3 linked regions of the Nothobranchius furzeri genome follow. The protein of the gene in region 3 interacts with the protein of the main gene of each other region in a pairwise test. Links are inferred from orthologs where the notes say so. Each region holds a gene or a part of one and is shown on either strand. Other genes may lie near its edges.

The links.
Region 1: the proteins of rint1 (region 3) and scnm1 interact in binary tests that used the Homo sapiens proteins (3 or more experiments, as listed by UniProt). The two-hybrid records come from large-scale screens. The link is inferred for Nothobranchius furzeri from reciprocal best matches to the Homo sapiens genes RINT1 and SCNM1.
Region 2: the proteins of rint1 (region 3) and sfr1 interact in binary tests that used the Homo sapiens proteins (3 or more experiments, as listed by UniProt). The two-hybrid records come from large-scale screens. The link is inferred for Nothobranchius furzeri from reciprocal best matches to the Homo sapiens genes RINT1 and SFR1.

What each region holds. Positions count from the first base shown.
Region 1 is NC_091745.1:65,775,982-65,780,075, forward strand, and holds the start of scnm1 (sodium channel modifier 1), read left to right. Parts: upstream 1-1,285; 5' UTR 1,286-1,393; coding exon 1,394-1,444; intron 1,445-1,575; coding exon 1,576-1,646; intron 1,647-1,728; coding exon 1,729-1,817; intron 1,818-4,094. Other genes in the region: lysmd1 (lysM and putative peptidoglycan-binding domain-containing protein 1), read right to left, coding at 547-726. UniProt on the Homo sapiens protein: As a component of the minor spliceosome, involved in the splicing of U12-type introns in pre-mRNAs. Plays a role in the regulation of primary cilia length and Hedgehog signaling.
Region 2 is NC_091752.1:33,773,773-33,776,523, forward strand, and holds sfr1 (swi5-dependent recombination DNA repair protein 1 homolog), read left to right. Parts: upstream 1-1,248; 5' UTR 1,249-1,374; coding exon 1,375-1,473; intron 1,474-1,569; coding exon 1,570-1,875; intron 1,876-1,954; coding exon 1,955-2,143; 3' UTR 2,144-2,242; downstream 2,243-2,751. Other genes in the region: cfap43 (cilia- and flagella-associated protein 43), read right to left, coding at 2,264-2,439, 2,517-2,667. UniProt on the Homo sapiens protein: Component of the SWI5-SFR1 complex, a complex required for double-strand break repair via homologous recombination. Acts as a transcriptional modulator for ESR1.
Region 3 is NC_091741.1:64,278,003-64,282,275, reverse strand, and holds the start of rint1 (RAD50-interacting protein 1), read left to right. Parts: upstream 1-1,463; 5' UTR 1,464-1,498; coding exon 1,499-1,708; intron 1,709-2,184; coding exon 2,185-2,310; intron 2,311-2,515; coding exon 2,516-2,631; intron 2,632-2,744; coding exon 2,745-2,918; intron 2,919-3,011; coding exon 3,012-3,149; intron 3,150-4,273. UniProt on the Homo sapiens protein: Involved in regulation of membrane traffic between the Golgi and the endoplasmic reticulum (ER); the function is proposed to depend on its association in the NRZ complex which is believed to play a role in SNARE assembly at the ER.

The DNA.
Region 1 (4,094 bases), on a different chromosome or scaffold from region 3:
TTTGGACTGTGGGAGGAAGCCGGAGTACCCGGAGAGAACCCACGCATGCACAGGGAGAACATGCAAACTCCATGCAGAAAGATCCCAGGCCGAGAAGCAAACCCAGGACCTTTATATATATATGCATGGTGGCGCAGTGGTTAGCACTGTTGCCTCGCAGCATGAAGGTCGCAGGTTCAAAACTCGCCTTTCTGCGTGGAGTTGCGTGTTCTCCCCATGCATGCGTGGGTTTCCTCCGGGTACTCCGGTTTCCCCCACACATCACAACATGCCCTACAGGTTATTAAAAAAAAACTTGTACGTCGCTTTGGATAAAAGTGTCTGCGAAATGAATAAACATAAACATACACACACACACATATATATATATACACACACACACATATATATATATATATATATATATATATATATATATATATATATATATATATATATATATATATATATATATATAGAAAGAGAGAGATAGAGAGAGAGAGAGAGACTCAAAAATGTAAGCCTAACTAAAATAGGTTGTTTAAAATGTAAATAGTTTGTACTTACAGACACTCCGTATTTAAGGGCCAGGCCCTGCAAAGTCTCTCCCGGTTGGACGACATGTTCCACGACTCTGCGGCGAACCGGAGACTGTGAAGGTCGGATCAAACTGCCGTAAGATCTGGTTCGGCTTCCGCGAAGGAGGCCCCCTCTCCCGGGAGGCGATGGCTCTCGCTCCCCGGACATTTTGGTGTATCATTTGTGTTTAAACCCGTCCAAGGTGCGGCAGAATACAGAGAGCTGTAAACTTTAGCTTTTACCAGAGAAACATGTATGTAAGAACTAGCACACGACCCAACTATTCAAGCTTCTTTCCTTTTTAAACCTGCTATTTTAAGCTTAGCAATACAGCACCTGCAGCACACACAGGGCCTCTGATGTAAAAACCCCGTTAAACTATATGATAAACCTATTTTACACACCTGAAAAGTTATCGTGAACTTGTTAGCATTTTCTCGTATCTCGTGAAGTCAGCAGCAGCAGTAGCAGCTACGCTGGTTGCCATGGCTGCCTGGGCTGGTCACATGATTCTTAACAAACGGTGCGTTTAATACAATACGAATAACAGAAATCACTTTAAAGTTGTTCGAATTCGTTTTAGGAGTACCTAACGTTTAAACTGTTTCTGCACTTGAGCAGTCTTTTTTAATGATAATTATGAGCGACAAATAATGGATATGATTCAGAAATGTTTGTGCACACTTTAGTTCAAAGCTGAACTCCGTTCTAAATTTGGAGGTTAGAATTTCCCATGCGTCGATTCTTCTGTGAACGCATCAGCAGGGCTAGCCTAGCATTGACAAAAAGCAGCTAATCTGGTTCCAACTTCAGTTTAAGAGTATATGTCATAGCAATGTCTTTTAAAAGAGAGGGGAATGACAAGAGTCAACTCAACATTCTTAAGGTTAAATATTGTTTTATACGTTGTCTGTTTCATTAAATATTATACGTTTGTGTAGTTAGCATCATGTTAGCATCCTGTTAGCTTCCTGTCCTGGGAGCACTCACTATTTCAACTTTGTTGACATTTTTCAGAAAAGGCGTGTGGCCGATCTGCTGTCTCATTTTATTCCTGAAGACGAAGCTGCGCTGCTGAAAAATGGAAGGTGAATTTCGGCTTGACTCACGTTCGGAAAAGAAACAGACATGTTGTTACATTAATAACTGAAAACGTGTGTGGTTTTTTAGATATACTTGTCTGGTGTGCTCCTACCGTCCCGTGTTTGATACGGTTGATGTGCTGACCGTCCACAGGCAAGGGAAGAAGCATCTAGAAGGTAAAAGTGAGCTTAAATGTGTCATTCCCTGTGGGTAAGGGATGAGGTTTGGAAGAACTTTTCTAAGTCAGGTGTTATGATTTTCTTACATTGTCTGACATCAAAGAAACACTTGAAAGTATCTGATGATATTGTGGGAAGACAATAGAACATACAGTCTGATCAATTTGTTTATTACAAATCATTAAAACAACAGCACGTGGTTTTTACTCAAAATCCAAGAACTTCACCCTGAGTTAAAGTATGGAAGAGGATTAAGGCCACTGAAAATAAAACATATGAAAAGAAAGACATCAGATTTTTCCCCTCAGAAATCTGGCTTTAATCTCAGAATTATTAAAGTCACAATCAAGAAAAAAGTCAGAATTCTGAGAAAAATGCCAGAAATCAGAGATTAACTCATTAACTGCCATTGACGACTAAAGTCGTCATTTGCATTTTTTTTACTATGTGGGCGTCGGAACGAGCCCCCGCACCGTGAGAACAAACATTCCAGCTATAAGCTGATCTTCATTCGTGTACGTCACACGCCACGTGATCAGGAAGCAGAAAATCCATGTGTTAGGAGATCGTTTTGGGCCACAGCTGTAAAAAAATAAGTGAGGCGCAAACCGGAAAAGCTTCTGCCGATCACAGTTCGACTACAGATTATGTAAGAATGGATAACACTCGAAACATGTAGATTCTGAAGAAGAAGAAGAAAATATCATTTCTATGGCGCCTCTCAAGATAAAAATCACGAGGCGCTTCACAAAAACAAAAAAATGTAAAAAATATAAAAAAGCATTTAGAAAATGTTTAAAAATTTATTTCAAATGAGCAAAAATAGACAATTGGGATTTAAAAGAAAACAATTTTAAGAAAGAGAGAGTGAATAGGAAAGAGGGAAATCAGTGGATCCTGAGGAAGGTGGAATAGGTGGGGAGAGCAGAATAAAGAGAGAGGGGTTGAAGAAGGCCATACAAAAGCCAGCTTGAACAAGTGAGTTTTCAGCTGCTTTTTAAAGGAGTCCACTGATCTCAGGCTCAAGGAGAGAGAGAGTTCCAGAATCTGGGGGCCACAGCAGCAAATGATCTGTCACCTTTGGTCTTTAGACTGGTGCGTTGCACAACCAGTAGGCTTTGATCACTGGACCTCAGGGACCTGCTGGGGGTGTAGGGACTAAGAAGATCACCAATGTAAGATGGTGCTTGTCCATGTAAGGCCCTATAGACCAGAACCAGAATCTTGAAATGAACCCTGATTCTGCCTGATGTAAGAGGTGAGTCTACTCTTCGTTTTGTTAGTTTTGGCGTTGACATCATCCTAGAGCACAACGTTCATTGACTCTTAAAGAAACAGTAGAAACACTGAAAAACGCTGGCTGCGAAGGGCTTTTCTGATCAGAGAATGGCAGGAGTGTGTCCAGGGAGTGCCCTGGGGTAGCAAATGCCACCCTTGAAATCCCAGGTGCCACCCCACCGAGTTCCATATAAATTGACTTTACATTCTCCACAAAAGGCTTAGGGTTACAATACAATAACCATAGGGGCCACTCGTGCATAAACAAGTGCCCCACCTGGGCCACCCCATTTTAAAGAGCTTGGACACGCCACTGGAGAACGGCTGGCAGTTAGTGAGTTAAAGTCAGAATTCTTTTTTTAAATTTTTTTTCTTCAGTGGCCCTAATTATCTTCAGTATTAGAAAAGACAAAACAAAAACAATCCATAATTACTTGTATACCAAAAAGTGTTTAAAAACCTGAGCAACAAAGAATTAACAGCTGTAAATTAATCATATGCAACTTGTGATGCATTTTAAATATCAAAATGCATACTAAAAAGGGGTTAATAGCTTGTTTTGATTATCGATATTAACATCGCTACACCACTGTACTATAGTTACAGTGGGAGTCATGGCATGGGTGGGGACTTATTTCATTCACACTTCCTGTTAGGAAAACACTTCTGAAAGAGGTGTCACCTGGTGGACCAAGAGAGCGACTCAGAGGCAGTGATAGACAGCACTCCCCTCAACCCCCTCTGCGTGCGCTGTCGGAGTTTCTCTGTCGAAAAATTAGTCATTAACAAGTGCACACGCATGCTCACAGTAGACTTACCTTTCTGCAGTATTCTGGAGAATTTCCTGTTAACTGCGATCATTAGATGAAAAGGGGAGGAGGGCTTTTTTTTAAGGAGGCGAGCGATTCAAAGGCTCTTTAAAGGGACTTTATGGAGTTTTGAATTTTTATGCTCGCGATTGCCCCCTCAGGCCAAAAGCGTAACGGCAGCTTCAAT
Region 2 (2,751 bases), on a different chromosome or scaffold from region 3:
ACCAAAAAAAATTAAAAATAAAGCACACATTTGCACTAATAAGTGGCCTATTTAGAATGTGATGAAGGTTCTGGCATCCTCAAAGTCTCACATCGCCTCTAGATTCAATAAACCCCCACCAGTTACTCCATGTTTGTTTCTGGGAATAGAGCAAAGTATTTTATGTCAACTTGGTAAGATAAAAAAAAAAACACTGCAAACAGTCTACTGACTAACACACAGTAATTATCTTCAGCCCTCAGCCCTCTGAGAATCATCCATATAAAATGTAAAAAAATCCCCAGCTCCCTTGGGTGTGTAATATCGCCCTGCCAAGAACTGATGTTCAAGTCCAGGCAGCATCATAATTTACATTTTCACACACCCCGTGGCCGCATAGACACACACAAAAAAGTGAGTTATCATATACAAGTGGGGAAAAAAAACTCTTAAAGGGCTTGAAGAGTTATAAATAGGTAGCTGTAAAAGAGATGAATCAGCTAATGGGAAGGGGTGAAGCAAATTATGACTCAACTTTAGTAAGAGCAGCATGTACCAGGCATGTCCGCCGGCCCTTAGAAATCACTTTTACTTTGTGCTTTGCTTGAGTGCAAAAGGTTATCCATTTAATCCCGCAGGAGCGGTCCTGTCTCGCATCGGGTTTAATGGAAAATCTCAATTTGTTCTGAAATTAACTCAAACTGAAAAGAAATATTATAGTTAAACATAAGGAGGATCGTGTGGCTTCAGTGTATGCTCGAGTTTTAAAACACATTAAATGCTGAAGGGCAGTCCTGTGATAATTTTTTATGAAGTGAGCGATCACAACGTGTGTGTGTTTTGTGTTTTAGTTAACATTTTTAATGCCGATTTCTAGCATAAAAAAGAACACAAAATAGGACCCATTACTTCGTTATTTTTTACACAAGTTAGTAAAAAAAAGTTTTTTACCTATGGGAATAAAAATTAAATTTATTTAAACTAAGCCTTGTTAAAAAACACAAAGTAATGGATATTGAAGTTACACACAGAACGAATTCACAAGAGTATACAAATATATGACATATTTAAATAAAACAAATACTAAATTTAGCAAAAAAAATAGTCCTCCTATGTCCCCTAAGCACTGCCTTCAATCTTTCAATTAAATTGAAACGTATGAACGTTTTTTTATTTGTGTCTGTCACATAAAAAGGTTTCAAAGATAAAAGTCTAGCCTAAATGCATTTTACCCTAAAGGCTTCAACTCCCAGAATTCCGTTCGGCTTTACGTAATCAAATTCTGACCAATCACACACGCAGGAGGCCATGACCCGCGGAAATACGGAAAACCAGAATTTTGTGTTGTGAACGCGCTACAAAGTCATTTTTTACGAGTGTAAGTCTGTTTTACCGATGGATGTCACTCCCAAAGGAGACAAATTAAAGACTGAACGGTGTTTATCGTACAGTTCAGCCGAGTCAAGCCCATCGGAGGAGTTTAGAAAGGAAAAGGTGAGTATTGTTAGCTAAAGTGGTGCGTAAACTATTAGCTAACATCATAATCTAAAACACGTTTCAGGCTTGATTCATGTCGGGTTTCTCTGATAGCATCCGAAGCCGAGTTCCTCTCTGAGGGAGAGGCTGAAGAGAACCAGGCGCTCCTTCACATCGCCCCTCTCGGTGGCCAAACGCCTCTGCGTGGACAGCGGAGAGCAGGGTGGCCATCAAGCTTCAGTGGAAACGGGCAGCGATCCTCCGGTCTCGGTACACAACAGGGATAACGCAGGAAGCGAAAGGCTATCCGGACCCACACTTGTCTCCTCTGGAGACGTTGCACAACAACTCAGAAAGGAGGTGAAAGAAAAAACAGAGACTCTGCGCCGACTCAAGATGGTCCAAATGTACAGAAGCAAGGTATCAGCTACTTCTAACCCCATCCTCTTTATTTGTGATCACCAAGGCTGAGAATTAATACGAGTCATTGTTTTTTTAGAACGATTTAACACAGCTGCAAACCTTGATCGACAAGTGGCGGAGCGGTGCTCAGGCTGCTCTGTGTGAGCTGCAGTCAGAGGTCCCTGTGGATGGACGCAAGGCAAGCCTGTCAGAGCTCATGGACCTGTTCAGGCTGGAGGACAGCATTCTGCACTTTGATCGCACTGAAGAGGACTTCACTACATAATTAACCACAAACACACTGAAGAGAAGTCAGCACAACTGCAAGTTTTATTTGGTGTTTCTATAATTCCCGTTCACAATAAAAGTACATTTCATGTTCTAAGTTTTGAAGAAAAGTTTTTAATCAGTAGTGTTTCGGCAGATCAAAACACGGGAAATTCCTCCTCCTCAGATGTTCAACTTCTTCCCAGAGGAACTGCAGTTCCTCTGCCTGTTCCCTGGCAAGGCTCTCCAAGTTACTCCTTTGAACGGTTTCCTGGTAGCAGGCATTTCTCTCAGCATTTTCGTCTGCAGCTATAACTAAAGAGCCACATCATCATTAGAAGGCCGCTCCAGTGTGTGCACTCTGTATCTGAAATGATCGTTTTTCTTATTACCTGTTCCCTTGTCGTTCACAAGCTCTGCCAAAGTCGCCTGCAAGTCAGGAATCTGCTGCTCTAAGCTGAGGCTGTTCTTTGCTTTTTCCTCCGCTTTTTTCTTAAGTAGTGCAATCTTTTTAAACATCTGCTGAGCACTCTGCTGAAGAGTCTGAAATTGAGAATAAATGTGTATTATTTCACTGATGAATATTAAAAAGCACACAGAGCACAGTACAAAGTATTACTTCGCTGT
Region 3 (4,273 bases):
TTGAGGAGATCGGATAAAAATGACGAGGACAGATGATTTAAACTTTAAAAGTGAGCAATGAGACCATAAAATGAAGCCATGTGTTCATGTTTTAACACCTATTGAAAGACAAGGTACTGGTCAAGGTGTTGATTCTTATCATAGCTGCTTCACATTCGACTGCAAACTACTCCAGCAAAAGCTCAAGATCACGACCCGATGAAGCCAACAGGACTACATCGTGCAAAAATCAGTGACCCTGATCCTTGGGCCACCAAAATGGATTCCCTCAACATCTTGGCTGTGTCTAGAAATCCTGTCCACAAAAGTTATGAACAGAATTGGTGACAAAGGGCAGCCTTGGTGGAGTCCAACTATCACCCAGAACGCTGTTACTGCCAGCAATGCAGACCAAGCTCTGGCACCGGTCATACAGGGACCGTACGGCCCGTATCAAGGGGGCTGGTACCTCATATTCTCATGGTAACCCCCACGGGACTCCCTGGAGGACACGGTTGAACACCTTCTCCAAGTCTACAAAACATATTGGGCTGGTCCAGTGTTCAACAGCCAGGACCAAAACCATATTGTTCCTTCTGAAACCAAAGTTCAACTATCTGACGGACCCTCCTCTCCAGAACCCCTGAATAGACTTTACCAGGGAGGCCCAGTAGTGTGATCCCCCTTTAGTTGGAACACACCCTGTGCTCCCTCTTTTTAAATAGAAAGAACCACCGACCTGGTCTGCCAATCCACGAGACTGCCCCCGATGTCCATGCTGCATGGTGGCACAGTTGTTAGCACTGTTGCCTCGCAGCATGAAGGTTGCAGGTTCGAAACTCAGCTGTGGCCTTTCTGCGTGGAGTTGCGTCTTCTCCCCATGCATGCGTGGGTTTCCTCCAGGTACTCCGGTTTCCTCAACAGATCCCAACATGCCCTATAGGTTATAAATTGTAAGTCGCTTTGGATAAAAGCGTCTCTTAAATGAATAAACATAAACATGTAATATCAAAGTCCCATTAGTTGTCACACTGGTGTGTGAAATTTGTTCTCTGCATTTGACACCCATCCCTGGGGGAGTGGTGAGCTGCAGACAAAGCTGTGCTCGGGAATCGTTTGGTGGTTTATCGCAGAGCCACTTCAACGCAACCCTATATCCAGGAACTCTGGGTGAATCTCATTCTTATCCATCGTGAGACATTGCCATTGAGCAGCTTTTGAATCGCCTTGGTGACCTCAGCGTCATTAATTTGAATTTTTATTATTTATGTACCTTTTCATTGTTGGTATTACTGTTTATGTTGTGTTGTCTGTTGTTTACTGCATTATAAGCAAATACTTTAATTCTGTAATGTTTTCACTGTAAATAAAGTTTGGTTAAAGAACCCGAAACATCTAGTGTTTTTAGACAAGAGGATAGGGGTCTGGTGTTGTTTTGGTACCTTCCCTTTCCCGACAGCAGGGGGCAGTGGTGAGTTGTTCCTCACTGTGCAGCGTGGCGGTGTTGTCAAAAATAAAGATGGCGACGGTACCAGCTGTAGAGTCTTTTCGGCATTCTGTCCGTGACATGGATCAGGATCCGGACTGTTTCGGTGATGGTTCTGGGACCCAGCTGGACTACGGACTGGGTTTTTTGGAGCAAGAGTTTGGCAGCGAACTGATGTCTTTAGAAGCCGTTAGTGAGCTGCTGGAGAAAATGAAAACAGAGACGGCGTTGGTGGAGGAGCAGGTACCGAACCTGAACTTTATTTACTACACGGTGTTTTTAAAGTTAACGAATTAGTGTGTAACAGCGAGCTGTTGTGGTTAAAGTCAGCTGTTTGGTGGCATTCTGGTGGATTAGGTGTGAACCTAAAGCACATTAAATAAGATTTAAACAAATGTTTTCACAATGAAGGAGATGAACTAAATAAAAACTGCTTCAGTGGATAAGACCTCACAGTTCATCATCTATATTTCACTTGATAGAGTTTTAAACATTAAAAGAACTGGAACTCTTGTGCATACATATACAATTTTAATCAAAGACCACTGTGCTGACAGGTCAGGGTTCATAGCCACTAACTCACGGGTTATTAATTTATTCTGCAACCTGAACTCAACCACATTAAATAAAAATGTGTTTTTTTGCAATCTGAAAGATTAGAACAATGTTTTGTCCTTTAGGTTCTGGCTGAATGGGATTGCATTGTTTTTGCTTTCCAGGTTCTGAGTGTGTGCAGTTCTGTTCCTCCCAAAATCTCAGCATCCCTGTCAGCTGCAGAGGAGGTCCGGTGTTCCTTGGAGGACGTGCTGCAGAGAGAACAATCTGTCTCCAGTCAGCTGCAGCAGGTAGAAACTGCAGAAGCTCAACAAAAGAGCAGATTTCAATCTGAAGTAGCAGAACGAACATCAGAGTTGTATTTGATCTATCCCATACAAGATCTGAAACACGATCTGAGCTGAATCATCTATGCTTGTTTAAGGTGTTCTGTGACAATCCCCACTGTAATCCAGGGATGTTTTACTGATGCTGTTAAATATTCTGATCTTCCAGCACCTGCAGGGCACCCGGCAGTTGATGGATGACCTAGGGCAGACATTTAACCATGTAGACTCTATGGAGAAAAGCATGAAGTATCTAAAGTGCCTTCACTACATAGGAGAGCTCAGGTAGGGTGATTAGAGGCTTGGAGACATGTTGGTTGAGGTTACAGTGATGCATCACTGAGGTTTAAAACTGCTCCTCATTTCTGCTGCATAATGTTAATATTATGTGTCTACAGTGCTTCAGTCCAGCAGTTTCTGATGACCAACGGTGTCTGGGAAGCTATAAAAGCTGTAGAGAGCATGGCGGCTCTGGACTCTGGCCTCAACCAGTCAGGATGTTCCCACCTTGTGGAGTTTCTCAGGAAAACGCTTTGTTTCTGGCACAATATCATCAAAGAACAGCTGTCCAGGTATGGCTCCATCAAATCCCAACCAAGACTGGGATGTTTTTGTCTTCTTTCATCTACTGTAAAAGCTGATTCTTTCTTTTTAAACCTCTTTAGTGATTTTGAAAACGCATTGACTCAACTACACTGGCCAATTGTCTCAACAACATCTCAGTCTGCGACACCTCCTGCAGGTCAGGAGGTCAGCAGCCATGTGGAGGAGCTGGTGACTCAGCTGCTGGCCCTGCAGACCTCGTATCCTTCTGGACACAGATCCAATAGGATCTTGGGGACTGTCTCCACACATTCATGTGCTCAGTTTTTTTAACCATGTAAATGTGTTTAGTTTCATCAGGTGAGATGTTTAGCATTATGTCAGGACACCATAATGATCTGACATTTGTCTTTGGTGGTGAGAGAGCAAGGCTTCTAACTCTACACAACCTTTAATCTGTAGTTTTGCATTTGCTCATGAGTTTTTATTTAGTTAGTATCTCACTGGGCTCTGTTAGCGAGACACTGGCATCACCATTCAGAGTGAGTTTTCAGAAGGTTATCCAAACATTCAAGTGTTCTTGGTTCCTTCTTGTGATTCTCAGGGCCTGACTCTGTGCCTAGAAATTTTTAAATGTTCAAAGAATTCTCAAGACAAATTCAGCCAACACAGCCGTTGTAATTAAGTACATAGCACTCATCTCAGACAGAAAATCACAACGTGCTTCACATGGATCAAAACAAATCATAAAGTCATAAAATCATAATGATCTTAAAACAGAAATGGATTAAAATCTGAAAAATAAAGTCTAAAATAATAAAACACCATAAAACAAATGAAAAATTATTACAAATTTGAGTTAAAAATAAGAAAATAAAAGATTTAGGTAAAAGCAGCTTTAAATAAAAGGGTCTTCAGCTGATTTTTAAAAGTGTCCAGACTGTCAATGCTGTGTAAGGATAAAGGAAGATCATTCCAGAGTCGGGGTGCAACAGTCTGGAACTTCTAGAAGGTTCTGGTGTGTGGACCTGAGGGCTCGGGTTTGAGCATAAGGCTTTAACAGTTCAGTAATATAGGGAGGAGCTTGACCATGTAGAGCATTGAAAGTTATAGTCAGTATACTAAAATGAACTCTAAAGTTAACGGGTAACCAGTGGAGAGACATTAGGGTTGTGAGCTCTTGTGTTTGCTCCAGTTAGAAGCCTCACTGCAGAGTTCTGGCCCAACTGAAGGCGGTCAAGGTTTTTCTTGTTAAAACATGTGAAAAGTGTGTTAAAGTAATCTAGTCGGGAGGAGATAAAGGCATGGATGACCATTACAAGTTCATGTTTTGACACCAACCTTCGCAGTTTGGAGATATTTCTTAAATGATAAAAACAGTTTC